Lonchura striata: one gene and its partner. The protein of the gene in region 1 purifies or fractionates together with the protein of each later gene. This does not show direct contact. Links are inferred from orthologs where the notes say so. Each region holds a gene or a part of one and is shown in the gene's direction. Other genes may lie near its edges.

Region 1 (7,349 bases):
ACACTTCCCACTGTGTCCTATGCATGGGTCAAAAGAATTCACATCTCCAGAAATCTCTCAGGCACTCTGAATTTCCGTGGGATTCTGCTGCCGTCAGTAAAAGAGTTTGCTGATTCTCAGAGCCTAAGGTAAAAGCTATGTATGTGCTCCACTGAGATCAGACCTGCATGGATCTGCTCTGATCTCCAAGTGGTGATTTTTCATTTGTGATGCCATTGCTATTTTTGTGCCAACCCTGTGATGTCATGGCCCTCTGGTGACTTCATCGTAGGGTCAAGTAGTGGGGAGAAAGGGGAAGAGAATAGACAAAGCTGCAATTCAGACAGCATTTGGTCAAGTAAATTGCTTGGAGTGGAAATATTCTGCCCAGCTACCTTGTGGCACAATGGAGTGGAAGCATTGAATGAGGCCGCTGTCCAGCAGCCGCTCTGCTGCCGGACACTATGCCAGACACGCACACCTGGGGCTGAGGCTCCCAACTCCCAGCCCTCAGTCAGCCTCAGGAGACCTGTCCTGTGCTCATGGCTGTGACAAGTGGCATGGTCACAGAAAAGGTTTTGCACCTCTGCTTTCCGTCTTCTCACCCACAGCATTCTGGGGCGAATCTGACGACAGCTGCTCCGAACTCGAGGCTGCTCTGCGCCCACGGACCCACGGCACAGATTCAGACGACTTTGATGACTTCTATGACTGAGATTCTCTCACTGGCTTTTGGGAAGAAACAAACTGTGTTTTCTTTTACACAATGACTGTGCCACAGGCTGCAGCACTGCCTGTTACTTAATTGGCAAAGAAAATTTAAATACCAAATAAATGTAATGGGTCCTATATATTGTCTGTGTGCTCTCTCTGACCTGCAGTGTTTTCCTGCTCTGATGGGAATCCTGCCCCATGACAGTCCCCTCCTGAGGCTTGTGGCATCCCAATATTGGGACTTCAGTGCTAGACAGGGTTTGGGAAGAAGCAGACATGCATTGTGGGTATGCAGATAGGCGCTGCTGGGGTGGGCTGGTATGTTTGATCTTTATCTTCTTCTGCAACAGATCAAGAAGAAGAAATGCATAAAATGTCCATTTGTAATTCAGCACATTTTGGAACAGAGCAGCATTTACATGTGGCAAGCCCCAGCGCTTTCCTGCTTTTCCCTGCTTTGTGAAATCCATGCTGGTGTTGCTGTGTGGACATCACAGTAATTGGATGACTCCAGGAGCTTAATGCATTTTTAATTTTCTTCTTCCTTTTATCTAAAAATTACGTTCATTAAACATGAGATTTTCTTTGGGATGGAGAAACTAGGGGACATGTTAAAGCTGTTCTTAAATGACAACAAGTTCAAAAGCAGAAAGCAGCACCCCAATTAAGCTGTGCTGTGCTGTGCTGCACTCCCACGTCTCCCAACACAGGCACCCATCTCTGCACCCCGTTCCTCAAAACCCAGCTAGAAATGGGACCAACATTCAGTGTAATAAGAGGAACGTGTAGGCTGAAAGCTCAACAGAACAAAATGACTTGCAGAAGTCTTGGAACCAAGCAGAAGCTATTGGCACAGCTGGCTGCTGTGAGTAAGGCTGACATCCTGGGAGACTGCTGGGACTGTTGCAACTGACAGAGTGAGAGGACACAGTCTTTAGCTGCACCAAAGGAAATACAGGTTGGATATTAGGAAAAAGGTTTTTTACAGAAAGAGTGATAAAGTACTGGAATCATCTGCCTGCGGAGATGGTGGAGACACCATCCGTGGATCTGCTTTAAAATAGACTAGATGTGGCACTCAGTGTCGTGGTTGAGGTGTTAGGGCATGGGTTGTACTCAATGATCTTGAAGGTCCCTTTCAACCTTGTGGTTCTGTAACTAAAGCCAGACTTTACTGAGGGCTTTAATGTCCTTTTTACCACACCAACGCTCTGTGTCCTGTGGGACTGCTGCCTGCTGTCAGTGCTGTGGGGTGTGCATGTTGCTCAAGGCCTGGGAGGAACGTGGAGAGGCGGAGCAGCCTCACTGGAAAAATCCAGCAGCTTGCGCTACCAAGGGACATTGCCTCAGCAGCGCAGTGTCTTTGCAGCTCTGAGCTCCTCCTGAGTGACTCTGGGCTGCTGATGTCAGCCCGCTTTCTGTCTGCTGCATGACACCAGTGTGTGGGGCTTTCCACCACCAGAGTCTGGCTTAGCCCTGACAGCGGCCCATGACAGGTGACGGATGGCTGTAGAGCCACATGCAGGCAATCTCTGCCTCTTGGTGTCGGAGCAATAGCCAGGTTCCTCCAGAGCGTTATTGATGATACTCTTATTGTGCACAGACTCATTTGATTCAAAACATCCTGCCAGTCAACTAGTCAACTTCCCTGTGCTCTTTCACAGCTGTCACGCTGGCAGCCTGGCCCTGGTTGCAGGTGATGCTGACAGACAGAGGGACTGGAATCAATACACCCCAAACAGATTCCCATCAGCGCACCACTCATCTGAGGAAAGTGCCTGAGTAGGAAGCCTTCCTTGCTCCTGCCCAGGGTTCTCTGCTCTGTGCTGTGCTCATGGATGTGCAATTAGCAGGTGAGACCCAGGCTCACTGCCCAGTGCAGCTGCTGATGCTCAGACCAACTTTTCAAGGAATTGTCTGCTGCAGTATTCATTTTTCCAGCACTTGTTTACCCAAGCAATTATAAGATAAGATGATCGCCTTTCATTTGCATCTGCCAGCCTTCTGTTTTCTTCATCATTATCAGAAAAACTGATTGCCCATCAATACAAATAAAATGTTCATGCTAAGCTGCCATGCTCCCTACAAAATTCCGGGAGGAGAAGCACTACAATAGGAAGCTTCAATCAGGGAACATTTTGTAAGGAACAGATAAAGCACAATCTTCAGCTGATACCACAGGTGTGGTTGGTGCGACTACAAAGTTGCAGGGGAAATTTATTGAAGTCACAGATTTTATTGAGGGGAATGACAACAAAAAATGGCTTAACAACAGCCAAATGAGGATAAGAATAATGAGAGACACAATACTGGGTTAATTTATTCTACAGTGAATTAGCCAGGTACCAAAGTTCTCCTCTGCAACCCAAATCGGCAGCGTTGACTCAGCAAGCACTGCTGAGACTTTGTTATTTTTGTTAATGACTCCCAGGCTGCTGTTCCCTGTCCTTGGCCCTGCGGCTGCCCTGCTAACGGAGCTGATGGATGGCAACAGGACATGGCAGAGCAAAACCTGGCTTGTCTTAATCCCATTTAATTCCCAACCGTTTAATTCCATTTTGGTGCTGTTGAACGGCCACAAATTAACAGTATTTGCTTATGCCACGGGCAGAGCAAGGGCATGGGGACTCCTTGCCTCATGTTGCTCTCAGGAATCACAAAGAGCCACTTCCCACTGGAAATGTCCCCTCAGAGGGCACAGAGCAGCTGTGCCCTGAATTGCTTCTGTTGTTGCCAAACGCAGGATAAGTCAAAATTGTCTGAAGTCGGGATGTTCTCTAATGTAATATTTTTGTATACTTCCATGCAGAGACGTATTAGTGCATCCCTTCAAGGACACCCTGGAACCACCAAGCTTTAAGGATATAGGAAATCTAGATGTTGATGCCTATGTGTGCATTCCTAACTTGGCAAAACACCCAAATTCCATGTATCCTACAGCTGAACCGTGTTTGTCGTAACACTGAAACTCACACCTACAGGCCAAGAAGAGGTGCAGACCCTTCCCCTGAGCACATGGAAGAGTTGGCTGGGGTTACGTAACTCATGTGGAAATAACTGATCAATCCTAAAAGAGGGGCTGTGCTGAGGATGTTGCCAGCTCTGGATTTTTAAGTAACAGTGGTTGTGCTGCATTTAGGGAATATATTGAGCATGCAGCTCACGCAGCACTGAAATAAATCATCCATGTCTCTCTTAATTATTGACTTGTTGGACAACAGTGCCGTGCAGCCTAAAGCACCCCTCAGCAGCACCCCATGTTTTAACAAGGTGCTAAAGGAAGGTGATTCTCCTGTTAAACTGCTTCTTTATGGCCGTTTTTGAAGAGAAGTTGTCGCACTTGTCTTGGCTGAGTGTGAGGGCGGCAGTGGGGCTGCCTCAGGCTTCCCTCAGGTTTCGCTTTCCCTCCTGGATATCACTCTTGTGCCCTCTGGTTTTGCTTTTTCCCTGTGAGCGTCCCTTTTGTATGCCAGGAGCTGCGCAGACCCGTTTCGGGGCGCTGTCCCCTCACGCTCCCGGCTCCCGCCGCTGCCGCGCTCCCCGCCCCCCCCCAGACGGCGGCACCGCGCCACGTGACCGCGCGCGCCGCCCCCTCCCTTCCCGGCATGCCCCGCGCCGCCCCCTCGACCCGGAAGTGCCGCGGGTGCCGCTGGCCGCAGCCCGTCTCGCTGCCGCCATGGGGGTCCCGGCCTTCTTCCGCTGGCTCAGCCGCAAGTACCCCTCCATTATCGTCAACTGCGTCGAGGAGAAGGTGAGCAGGCCGCCCGGCATGGCACGGGCCCGGCATGGCGCCCCGGGGCGCCTCGGTCGTGGCGGCCGCACCGGTGCTGAGCCCCCGCTGTTGCCCCCGTGGGCTGCCCCGAGGCCTTTCCAAGGCATGTCGGTGGGTAGGTGGACTAGGGTTGTGTTTGGGTTTGTTTCGGGTGCTGTTTAGGATTGGGAGAAGTTTGAGGGTTTTTTGGGTTTTGGAGTTTTTTTCGGATTTTTAATCCCGATGGAAGCGGGAGGAGTTATCCCAGCGCCTCGTTGAGTGCCGCCGGCGCGCGTGAGCGCTCCTGGAAGGAACGGGCACGTGGAGGAAGTGGGAATGGGCGCCGGAGCAGGGAATCGAGCCCCTTCTCCGGCCGCTTCGCTGGAATTCCAGCCCTTCCCGACGCCCTCGGCTCTGCCCTCATGCGACTTCGATCCGGAAAGGTGGGATTTGAGGCACTGGTGAAATTTGAGTAGGGAGCAGTGGGAGTGCTTTTTGCTGTTTCTTGAATGTTTTTCACAGTCCTTTCTTTTCCACAACTTTTTTTGATGGGAATTAGAAGCCGCAGCAAGCTCCAGAACTTCCTGGAAACACGAGCGCAGCCGCCTCTGGCGCTACATCCAAGACTTACACCAAGCCTGTGCTTGTGCTCGAACCTTGATCAGCCTCAGGGGGTTTTGTCTCGTTGTTGGTGTTTTCTAGTTCAGGATAAACATCTCCTGGCCGAACAGGGAGCTGATTATTCCAAAGATGTCTCTAAAATATGGCTTTCCATGGCGGCAGCAGCAGCAGGTTTCAGTGAAGGCTCTGACCACAGCTGCCTTTCCAGGCAGTATTGAAGCTGAAGTGATGTTTGTTTCCGTGTTTTTTTGGACTGGTTCCTTCAGGCACATGCCTGCAACTGTGAGGGTGTTGTACCATCCTATGGGTCACAGTGGGAAGGGACAGGAAGGATGGGGGGGGGTTGTCTCCCTTCAGCAGCAGGCTTTGAGTGGCTGCACCATGGTGAATTACCACACTGTGCCCTGAGTGTGGCAAGTTTGCCTTCTCAGGGCTAATTCGAGCCTTTCTGAGGAGGCAGACTCTGGAGCTCTTGCTTTCCAAACTGCTTTTCCCATGGGCTTTTCCAAATAATTTGTGTTGTCTTGTTAGATGGTACTGGCTGTGGTGTGCTGGTTTGGAAAGTTCAGGGCATGTGGTGGCGCTTCTGCCTCTCTGCTCCTTCTCCCAAGGTGTGCTCACCTTGGGGAAATACTTGGAAGGGGATAGAGTGGGAGCATGATGGAGGAGGTCAGGGAGAAAAGGGTGAAGTGGTGAAATTCCGTGTTGAGGCTGCATGTGTACCCTGCCTGCAGCAGGATGTTCCGCTCTGCGCTTTTTCAGGGTGTTTTTGTGTTTCCGATTCAGGCAGTGAAGCACAGATTTGGTTAAAATTGTGAGTTGCTTTTGTGGTTTTATTACAGCTGTGATTTCAGTCCCTCTCAGCAAGGTAGGAAGTTTATTTTGCCTGTCGCTGCGAGAAGTGAATTTTTAATAGGGGGCAATTAAGATCTAAGAATCTGTCTGGGAATTTTTATAGAATAAAAGGGGGGTTGTGGGCTTAACAGTTTCTCTTAATGCTGAGCTCCAGCAGCACTGGCTCTTCTGGTTTCTGCACCAAACGCCTGAGGTGACCTCTCCCGAGGATCTGGGAACCCTCAGGCTCTGGGGCTGTCTTGGATAACCCTTTAAGATCTGTTATTGAAAAGCAGCAACAATTTAAACAGCAATTATATCTGTAACAGTTTGGGGCAGTTGTCTCTAAGAGCAGATTTGCCTTTTTCAGCACATTTGTAAATGTTAGATTAATCTCTGTGTAATCAAAGCTGTTCTCACATTTAGGCAAAACAAAGGTTTGCATAACCCTGGTTTTACTGATTGTGTGTCTCTTTTTATCAGTCTTTAATAACTGAGCTTGTACCATCCAAAGTTATTTATTAAAATAAGTGGAAAGACATAACAAATTCTTTGAATTAGATTTGCCGTAAGTGAAGTGGCAGCTCTTGCTGTCCTCATCCATGTTGCCTTGTTCCAACTCAAGAGCACGTGCAATTACAGCCAGGACAGCACATGGATAAATCATATTCATTAACATTTTTTTATATTCAAATCTGGTCATAAATCTGAGAGTGGACTAGGACATCAGGGAGAAGCTGTAGTTTGTCTTACTGTCAGTGAATTTAAGCTTCTCTCACAATGTAATCAGCTCTGTGTTTGTTTTAGGATTGCTGTAAATCTCTCTAATCAGAAATTTTGTATCTCCTCGTAGCTTGTCTCTCAACTGAAAAGTTGATCCTTGTTCTCTTACCTTGCCAGATTAATCAGATTTAAGAAAAAGAAATAATCTTCTTCTTAAGCTAAGCAGGAAGAATGAGAGGAAGATCTTGACGATAATAAAAAATCCAGGAGAGAATATTCTTAATCAAATGGACAGGAATTAATAAAGCTGCAGCTGAAGTATCATGTTTGAAGATCTGTTTTCAATGGTTTCAAAAGAGGCTGTAGATGAGAAGTGAACAGTTTAGTTATATCACAAGTGATATCGCTGCCACATACTTCAGCCTTCCTTCCACACGACTGCTGCATGAGAACCCCAGTGGGTCTGTGAAGGGGGGCTCATTCTCTGCCTCACAGAGCTGGGATTCCTTCTGAATCCCATTGAGCCCTGGAGAGAGGGTGGCTGGGGATCAAGGAGAATTCAGGGGGTAGCCCAGAGGAAGGTACAGTGTTTGCACTGACACTTAGTTTCTGCTAGCACTACCTTCTTTTGAGTGTGTGTGTGTGTCTGGAGAGCTCAGTAAAGGAGGCAAACATTGGTGCTTGGGGGTGGCATCTGTCAGGATAGCTGTGCCAAATGTAAATACTG
Region 2 (7,392 bases), on another chromosome or scaffold:
AGTTTACTCAACAGTAATGACTGCCACATACAGACACATCTCTGTGGAAGTGCTGTCCCTTGCCTGGGTAGAAGAACTTCAATGATCTGCTCTAGCAGAACACATAACATGATATCAGGAAACAGCAAAACATCTCTTCCCCATCCTTCTTCAAGCTGCATTTCTAATGAGCTTAAGCCAGAGCTCTCCAGTAGCTTACTTATTACTTATAGCAGGGACCAACCAGAGATGGTGTCCAGGGGATTTACTGTGCCAGGCCAGTAAGATTTCACTGTTACTGCCTTTCTGTGGAAATAACTCAGCTCTCTTTGCATTGCATGATGTTAAGAGCACAGTTCTCATATTAAGTTGAGTAGGGAATGTCACTATATATTAAACTTAACTGCACAGAACATAATTGAACTCAATGGGAGATGCTGCCCTCTATGTTTCAGTGGGACTTGACTTTGAAGAAATAATAATTCACTGGTTTATAAAGGCATTTATAAACTTATTATACAAGAAGTGCCAGTGCAATACTATGATTTATAGACACTGGTATGATTCACCTTGAGATTTTTGTTGTATCTTGCCAAAAGCAGCTATTATCAAACCCCAAATGACTCTTAACAACACTACTATTGACATGGCATTTAGAAGTTCCTTCCCTAGTGGGAACAAAACCATCTCTTTTCTTCCAATGTTGAAAATTAAATGCACAGCATTAACACCACCAGTGAGGTGTTTAACTTCAAAATTGCCTTTCCTGGTGAGAATGAAAATAGTACGTGCTTTGTTTTTCAAAATTAACAGCAGTGTTTTTCTCTCTTTTCTAATACACATACTTATCAACCTGAGACACAGTTATATCCCTTAGCACTAATAGAGTATTGCAGGTATACACCTATGCTTGTCTGTGCACAACATCCCAGACTCCAGGAGTAGGATTTATCCTGTTCCAGTGTGATTCAAGCACACATTAATAAAGCAGAAAGAATATGACTGGGAAAAAACTGTTAGGGAAGACAAAAGGCTCATTTTAAAGTAATCTTTGTACCAGTAACAACACATTGATGCAGTAGTAACACAAAAGAAAATCAACCCAAAATTAAAGCATGAGGTTCCAGGAAGGCATCAGACCAGAGAAGTTCCTCGCTACAACCAAAACCTGTTGTTAGCCATTCTACATGTGTGCAAAACTATTCCTGATTTTTCTCCAGAAGTCACCAATATTTGTGTTCACACATATAGTCACCAGGCAAAGAGGTGAAATGGCTCTCTGTTAATTTGTCCTCAATAATTGGACAAGGGTAAATTCTTCTAATCAGTCCTTTAGCCACTCTAGGACCAGATGTGCCGAGTCTCCAACACTTCCTAGAACAATTCTTTTTTTAGGAGCCCAGGACTCACAGGTGAGTCCATATAATCTTATGCACACAGGATGACTGGAAGCACTCACAAAGCCCTGAGGTGTGGAGTCCTACCTCTGTGGTTTGGCTGTCATTAAGTCAGCAACACCAGAATATGACTTCTGGAGATCCCTCTGAGTATTTGAAATGTTCCTTTCACCATCCTGTGGAATCTAACCCTCCCCAGCTCCCACTCTTAACTGGTATATGAGCAGCTCAACATGGGCTAGTCCTTAGTCCACTTGGCAACTCAGATGCTTGAGGAGGAGGACAGGATATTCTTGTCTGTACTGCTTGCTCTTCTCCTTCTGCAAGAGTACAGACAATTCTACTGCAGCTACTCAAGACTTTATTGAATTCCTGCTGTCTCTGAGGGGCAGATCTTAAGCCCAGGTCAAGTCTCAAACAACTTCATTAGAAAGCAAAATGGTTCATTGAAGAGCATAAACAGGCTGGCAGAATGAATGATCTTGACTGAGGTGCAAACTGAAATCTATGTTTGCCAAGGATTTCATTCACCCTACGTTCTAAGGTCTGTATGGACCATGAAGTCAGGAACTGTGGTATCACAGACTCAGAGGTCTAGGAGACAAACCCACCTCACCTTTAAGCAGAATCCCTAATGTGACACATCATGCCCTTCCTGTATTTGAGCCTGTATTACAGGATAACCACATGTGGGACTGATACAACAAATGCCTGGAAATACATGTGGTGATTACACTTTCTAAAATTTCTGACACTGTTTTGTAACAAACACATTGCTCCAAGACACCCACAGCAGAGAAGATACAAATTTTCTGCCCTTCTCTTCCTGTCAGCCCCATCCCATTCATTACTGTTCCCTTGCTCTCTGTCACTGAACTATTCTTGCCAATGCACAAGATAACATTGTGTGGCCCAACCAGGAAAGCAAAGCAAAAGCACTTCCATCCCAACAATGGAAAAAGAGCAAAAGGGCATTGGACTTCTTTTTTCTGACTTCATTTCCTTAATCCCTTCATTTTTGCTCTGTAGAGGCACTCTTAGTTAAACCGCTACATAACCATTTCCACAAAATAAGACATCTAGGTCATTAAGGAGAAATACTTCTTCCTTAAATGCAATCTATTCTGTAGTTCAGTTCATAATGACATGTAGGTGTTAAAAATTGAAAACTTAAGCAAACCCAGACTTTTAATTCAGGAGGAAAAATCAATACAGCTCTCCAGGGACAGCCCTTCGGAATTCAAAATTCTTTCCTCTTTTGCACTGACTCAGCAAGCCCTATCTTGGCAGACTGCAGCTTGTGATATTTTCACAGTGTGCTTATTACTTTTTCACAGAGAATTGTTCAAATTATGGAGTAAGATTTTGCAAACTAAAGACAGCCTACAGAGCTGCAAGAGCAATTAGCTGAACCTTTTGTAGGCAGCAGTCCTCATATAATGCTTCCTCCAAAAAGCTACAACAACCCATGTCCTTGCCACTACCTTTCTGTCACATGCCAATGTTGTTAAACCTGGAATATGTCAAGATTATTTTAAGTCAGGGTAAGTCTTTAGTGCAAGCCATCAGGAAAGGAGACCTAATAAGGGGAACAGGCAGTATTGCTTAGTCAAAGACATCTAGGAACTAAGACTTTAAGAATAGAGCAAATCAAGACGTTGATGTACATCTACGTACATTGCTAACTTGGCAAGTACTCTAGGCCCATGGGCCCATGTATCCTATACCTGAACTATCCTCTTATAATATTAAAATTCGTGCCTATAGGTCAAAATACCCCTGCCCAGGTGAAGACCCCTCCCCAGAGCATTGGATAGAAGTTAGCTGGGGTTACATAACTTGTACGGAAATTACTAACCAATTATCATAGAGGAAATTGCTAACCAATCATCACAGAAAGTCCGGAGGGGCATACTAGTTTGTGGAATACCACTGAGAACCCAGGCTTGTGCAATTCTGAAATAAATAATAATTGTCTCTCTTAAGTATGCAATTATTGTCCAGGCAACAAACCCAATTGTATGGACAACACTGAGGAGGAAAGGGGGAAAGGACCTGAGTGTCCTTTTCTTTCACCAATGGAAGATGATCTGTGGGTGCTGGTGGAACATGAATCAGCAATACATGAGCCAACAGTTTGCCCAGGTGGCCAAGAAGACCAGCAGCACCCTGGCCAGGATCAGAGATAGTGTAGCCAGCAGGAACAGGGAAAGGATTGTCCCGTTGTACTCAGCACTGGTGAAGCCACACCTCAATTGCTGCATCCAGTTATGGCCACTCAAATCAGGAAGGCTATTGAGGTGGTGGAGCAAGGCCACAGAAGTGAAACAAAGCTGGTGAAGGATCTGGAGCACAAGCGCTACCAGGAGCGGCTGAGGGAGCAGAGGTTGTTTGGAAGAACAGAAGCTCAGGGGAGACCTCATGTCTCTCTAGAATTACCTGAAAGGAGGCTATAACAAGGTGGGGATCGGCCTCTTCTCCCAGGCAACCAGCGACAGGATTAAAGGACACAATCTTAAGCTGCACTAGGGGAGGTTTAGGTTGAACATTAGGAGGAATCTCTTCACAAAAAAGGTTGGGAAGCATTGGAACAGGCTGCTCAGGGAAGTGGGGAGTCAGCATCCCTGGAGGTGTTTAAAGGAAGACTGGACGCGGCACTTAGTGCCATGGTCAAACGGACAAAGTGGTGCTCGGTCAGATGCTGGACCCCAGGACTACGAGGACTTTTCCAGCCTAAGTGATTCTGTGATTCTGAGGTAAAACACCAACTGATCCGCCACAAACTCCGACCTCAGCAAGCCTGGAAGAAACCAACGCGTACAGCAGAGCTTTTGTTCACGCTTTCCCCAGTCACAGTGCGGGGCTGGCAGCCGAGCCCAGGGCACCTCATTTGCCCGGCACCCGAGACGCGCCGAGGCGCGCACACGGCGGCGCTGCGCGGCCCGGCCCACGCGGATGTGAGCTCACGGCGGCCCGGCGGAAGCCGCGGGGCGGTGTTTCCGCGGCGGCGGCGATGGCGGGCAAGGCGGCGGCGGCGGGCGAGCCCCTCGGGCGGACGGCGGAAGAGGCGGCCTGGGCGGAGACGCTGCGCGGGGCCTGCGAGCCTGAGCACCACTGGCGGTACCGCCGGGAGTTCCTGCTGCGCAACGTGGGGGAGCTGCCGGCGGCGGGCAGCGCCCAGCTGCAGCGCCTGGTGTCCCTCTCCATGGTGTGGGCCAACCATGTCTTCCTGGGATGCCGGTGAGTCCAGCGGGACGCGCCGGGGGACGGGGGGGCGGCGAGGCGCGGCCGTCTGACGAGGCCCCTTCCCTCCTTTCCTCTTGTCGCCCCTCCAGGTACCCGCCGCAGGTCATGGAGAGGGCGCTGGAAATGGCCGAAGGCATCCAAGTGACCGACGCGCCTGTCCGCACCACGAGAGACGAACTGGTTGCCAAGGTGAAGAAAAGAGGCATATCAAGTAGCAATGGTTAGCAGATCATAGCTGTGACAATACATAGGAGTCTAGAAAATTCTTGTTTCTGAATGTTCTCGGTTTGCCTCGGGCTTAGAAAGTAGTTGAAATAATTTACTTTTTAAACTCCCGCTAATAGTTTCCTCTCTCTGTGCTATTCTTTTTCTAATATGTCTCTAAAATGGACATAATGTGCAGATAGTAATTTGGTAATGTAGAGCTGTTGTTTTGAATTTCTACAACTGGTGCACTATAATCTGACAACTTGTGCGTTGTGTTGTGTGCTGCTGTGCTCCAGCTTAAATACGTTCTTGTTACTTTGCCATTGTTGCTGTGTAAGAAACTGCGTTTCTAAAAGTAACTCTCAGACTTATGTTTTAAAGATGTTTTGTGACATTAGTAGACCAAATACACTTCTTTTATTTTTAGGTCAGATAACCCATTTTATGTATGTTGGCCAGTTTCGGTTTGGACTTCAAGAATAGAAATACATATTTGGGTCCAAACCAACATCTAAAATCTTGCATGAGTGTATACCGGATTTTGTCCAAAAAACTCAAAATCCTGAAATAGTAGGTTAATACTTGAAATGACAGTTCAAAGTATATTACTAATATATGCCCTTTAAATTCACAGAGAATATTGCTAAAAGGTTTTAGATTATTTTTCTCTACATGGATATTTCATAGTGCAGAAATCAAAGAGTTTCACATATTTTACCTGTTTTGCAGAAGGGGTAGAGGAGCCCTCCAAGAGACAAGCTGTTGAGAAAAGCAGAGACTCTAAGGATGTTGGAAAGAATGTGAAAACAACCAAAGCAGAAGGAGCAAAGGAAACAGAGAGCACCTTGCCCAAAAAGCAGGAAAAAGGTATTAGCAAAGATCCAGAAACTTCCCAGTCAACTTGCAGTTCAGATCAAGAAATGATCACAGTGTCAGACACAGAAACAGAAGGAAAACCTGCTAATGCTGAAAGTACTGCTGAGCAAAAGCCACCTTCATCTGAGAAAGAGCCAGGAAAGAAGCCTTGTTCAAGCCCACCCAAGGAAATCAAGTGTGAGAATGTGCCATCACCTGAAAAGAAAACTACAGGAAGTGTAGCACCGCTGGCTGCCGAGAGCACCCCTCAGGTAGCAGCAGCAGTGGTGGCAGCACAGCCACCAGCTGCCAAGAGCACCCCACCGGCAGCAGCTGTGGCAGCAGCAGTGCCATCAACCTCCAAGAGCACCCCACAGGCAGTAGTGGCGGCAGCAGCAGTGCCAGTGACCACCAAGAGCACCCCACAGACAGCAGCGGTGGCAGCAGCAGTGCCACCAACCACCAAGAGCACCCCACAGGCAGCGGCGGCGGCGGCAACAGCAGTGCCACCAACCACCAAGAGCACCCCCCAAACGAGTGCTGCGTTGCTGTCTTCCAAAACCCAGCTGGGTGCCCCAGCATCAGTGTCCAAGAACGGTGCTCAGGTGAGCAGCTCACTGCTTCTGGCCCCCAAGAGTGGTACTCAGGTGGGCACCTCCCTGCTGCTGGCTTCCAAAGGCCCGGCTAAGGTGGGCTCCCCGCTCCTGGCCTCTAAGAGCAGTGCAGAGGTAGCTGCCTCTTTGCTGGCCGCTCGGAGTGGTGCGCAGCCGGGATCCTCACTGCTCGCTTCCAAGAGCAGTGCTCAGGTGGCCGCTTCGCTGCTGGCCGCTCGGAGTGGAGCTCAGCAAGGGCCCTCCCGAGGTGGAGCTCAGGCAGGTGCTTCCCAGCTGGCCTCTAAGAGTGGCTCGCAGGCAGGTGAAAGCCCTGCGAAGGCTTTGTGCAAACCGCTGACCAGCGAAGATGCAAAGGAAAGACAACCGTTTTTCAACAGACTCTACAAAGCTGTAGCCTGGAAACTGGTTGCTGTTGGAGGCTTCAGTCCTAATGTAAATCATGCAGAACTTCTAAATTCATCTATTCAGTCTGTAAAAGCTACGTTAGATGTTGCTTTTGTTCCCCTTAAGGAACTTGCAGACTTGCCTCAAAATAAAAGCTCTCTAGAAAACATAGTTTGTGAACTGAGGTGCAAGTCTGTCTACTTGGGTACTGGCTGTGGTAAAAGTATGGAAAATGCCAAAGCAGTGGCTTCAAGAGAAGCTTTGAAATTATTCCTCAAGAAGAAAGTTATTGTGAAGATCTGTAAAAGAAAATACAAAGGTAGTGAAATTGAAGATTTGGTGCTTCTGGATGAAGAGTCAAAACCTTCAAATTTGCCTCCAGCTTTAAGAAATCCTCGTGAGATCTTGTAGGGGGGAGAATCACTGTTTGTACTGTGTATAATATTTCAATACAAGGACTGAAGGTTAATTTTGTACTTTGAAAATGTAGGCTTCCAGATATTTTGTATTTCTTTCTCAGTTTTGCAAGACAATAATAGTTCTTTCACTTGGTAGCAATTGTATAAAACTTGTTAGAGATGACAAGTGCGCATTTAAAGGTATTGCCTTAATATACAGCACACTAGTGTGCTGTTGTATTTGCAAAATAGTCTACCTATCTCTTCTATTTTTAATTAAACTATTAAGGTACAATTTGCTGTTTAAAACAC

Evidence for each region.
Region 2: the proteins of XRN2 (region 1) and CDKN2AIP purify together in Homo sapiens (affinity purification with mass spectrometry; 4 studies listed by BioGRID and IntAct, with this or other methods). This does not show direct contact. The link is inferred for Lonchura striata from reciprocal best matches to the Homo sapiens genes XRN2 and CDKN2AIP.

What each region holds. Positions count from the first base shown.
Region 1 is NC_134605.1:28,057,095-28,064,443, reverse strand, and holds the start of XRN2 (5'-3' exoribonuclease 2), read left to right. Parts: upstream 1-4,305; 5' UTR 4,306-4,369; coding exon 4,370-4,444; intron 4,445-7,349. Other genes in the region: KIZ (centrosomal protein kizuna), read left to right, coding at 591-694. UniProt on the Homo sapiens protein: Possesses 5'->3' exoribonuclease activity. May promote the termination of transcription by RNA polymerase II.
Region 2 is NC_134606.1:32,360,561-32,367,952, reverse strand, and holds the start of CDKN2AIP (CDKN2A-interacting protein), read left to right. Parts: upstream 1-4,371; 5' UTR 4,372-4,389; coding exon 4,390-4,616; intron 4,617-4,711; coding exon 4,712-4,842; intron 4,843-5,558; coding exon 5,559-7,093; 3' UTR 7,094-7,392. UniProt on the Homo sapiens protein: Regulates DNA damage response in a dose-dependent manner through a number of signaling pathways involved in cell proliferation, apoptosis and senescence.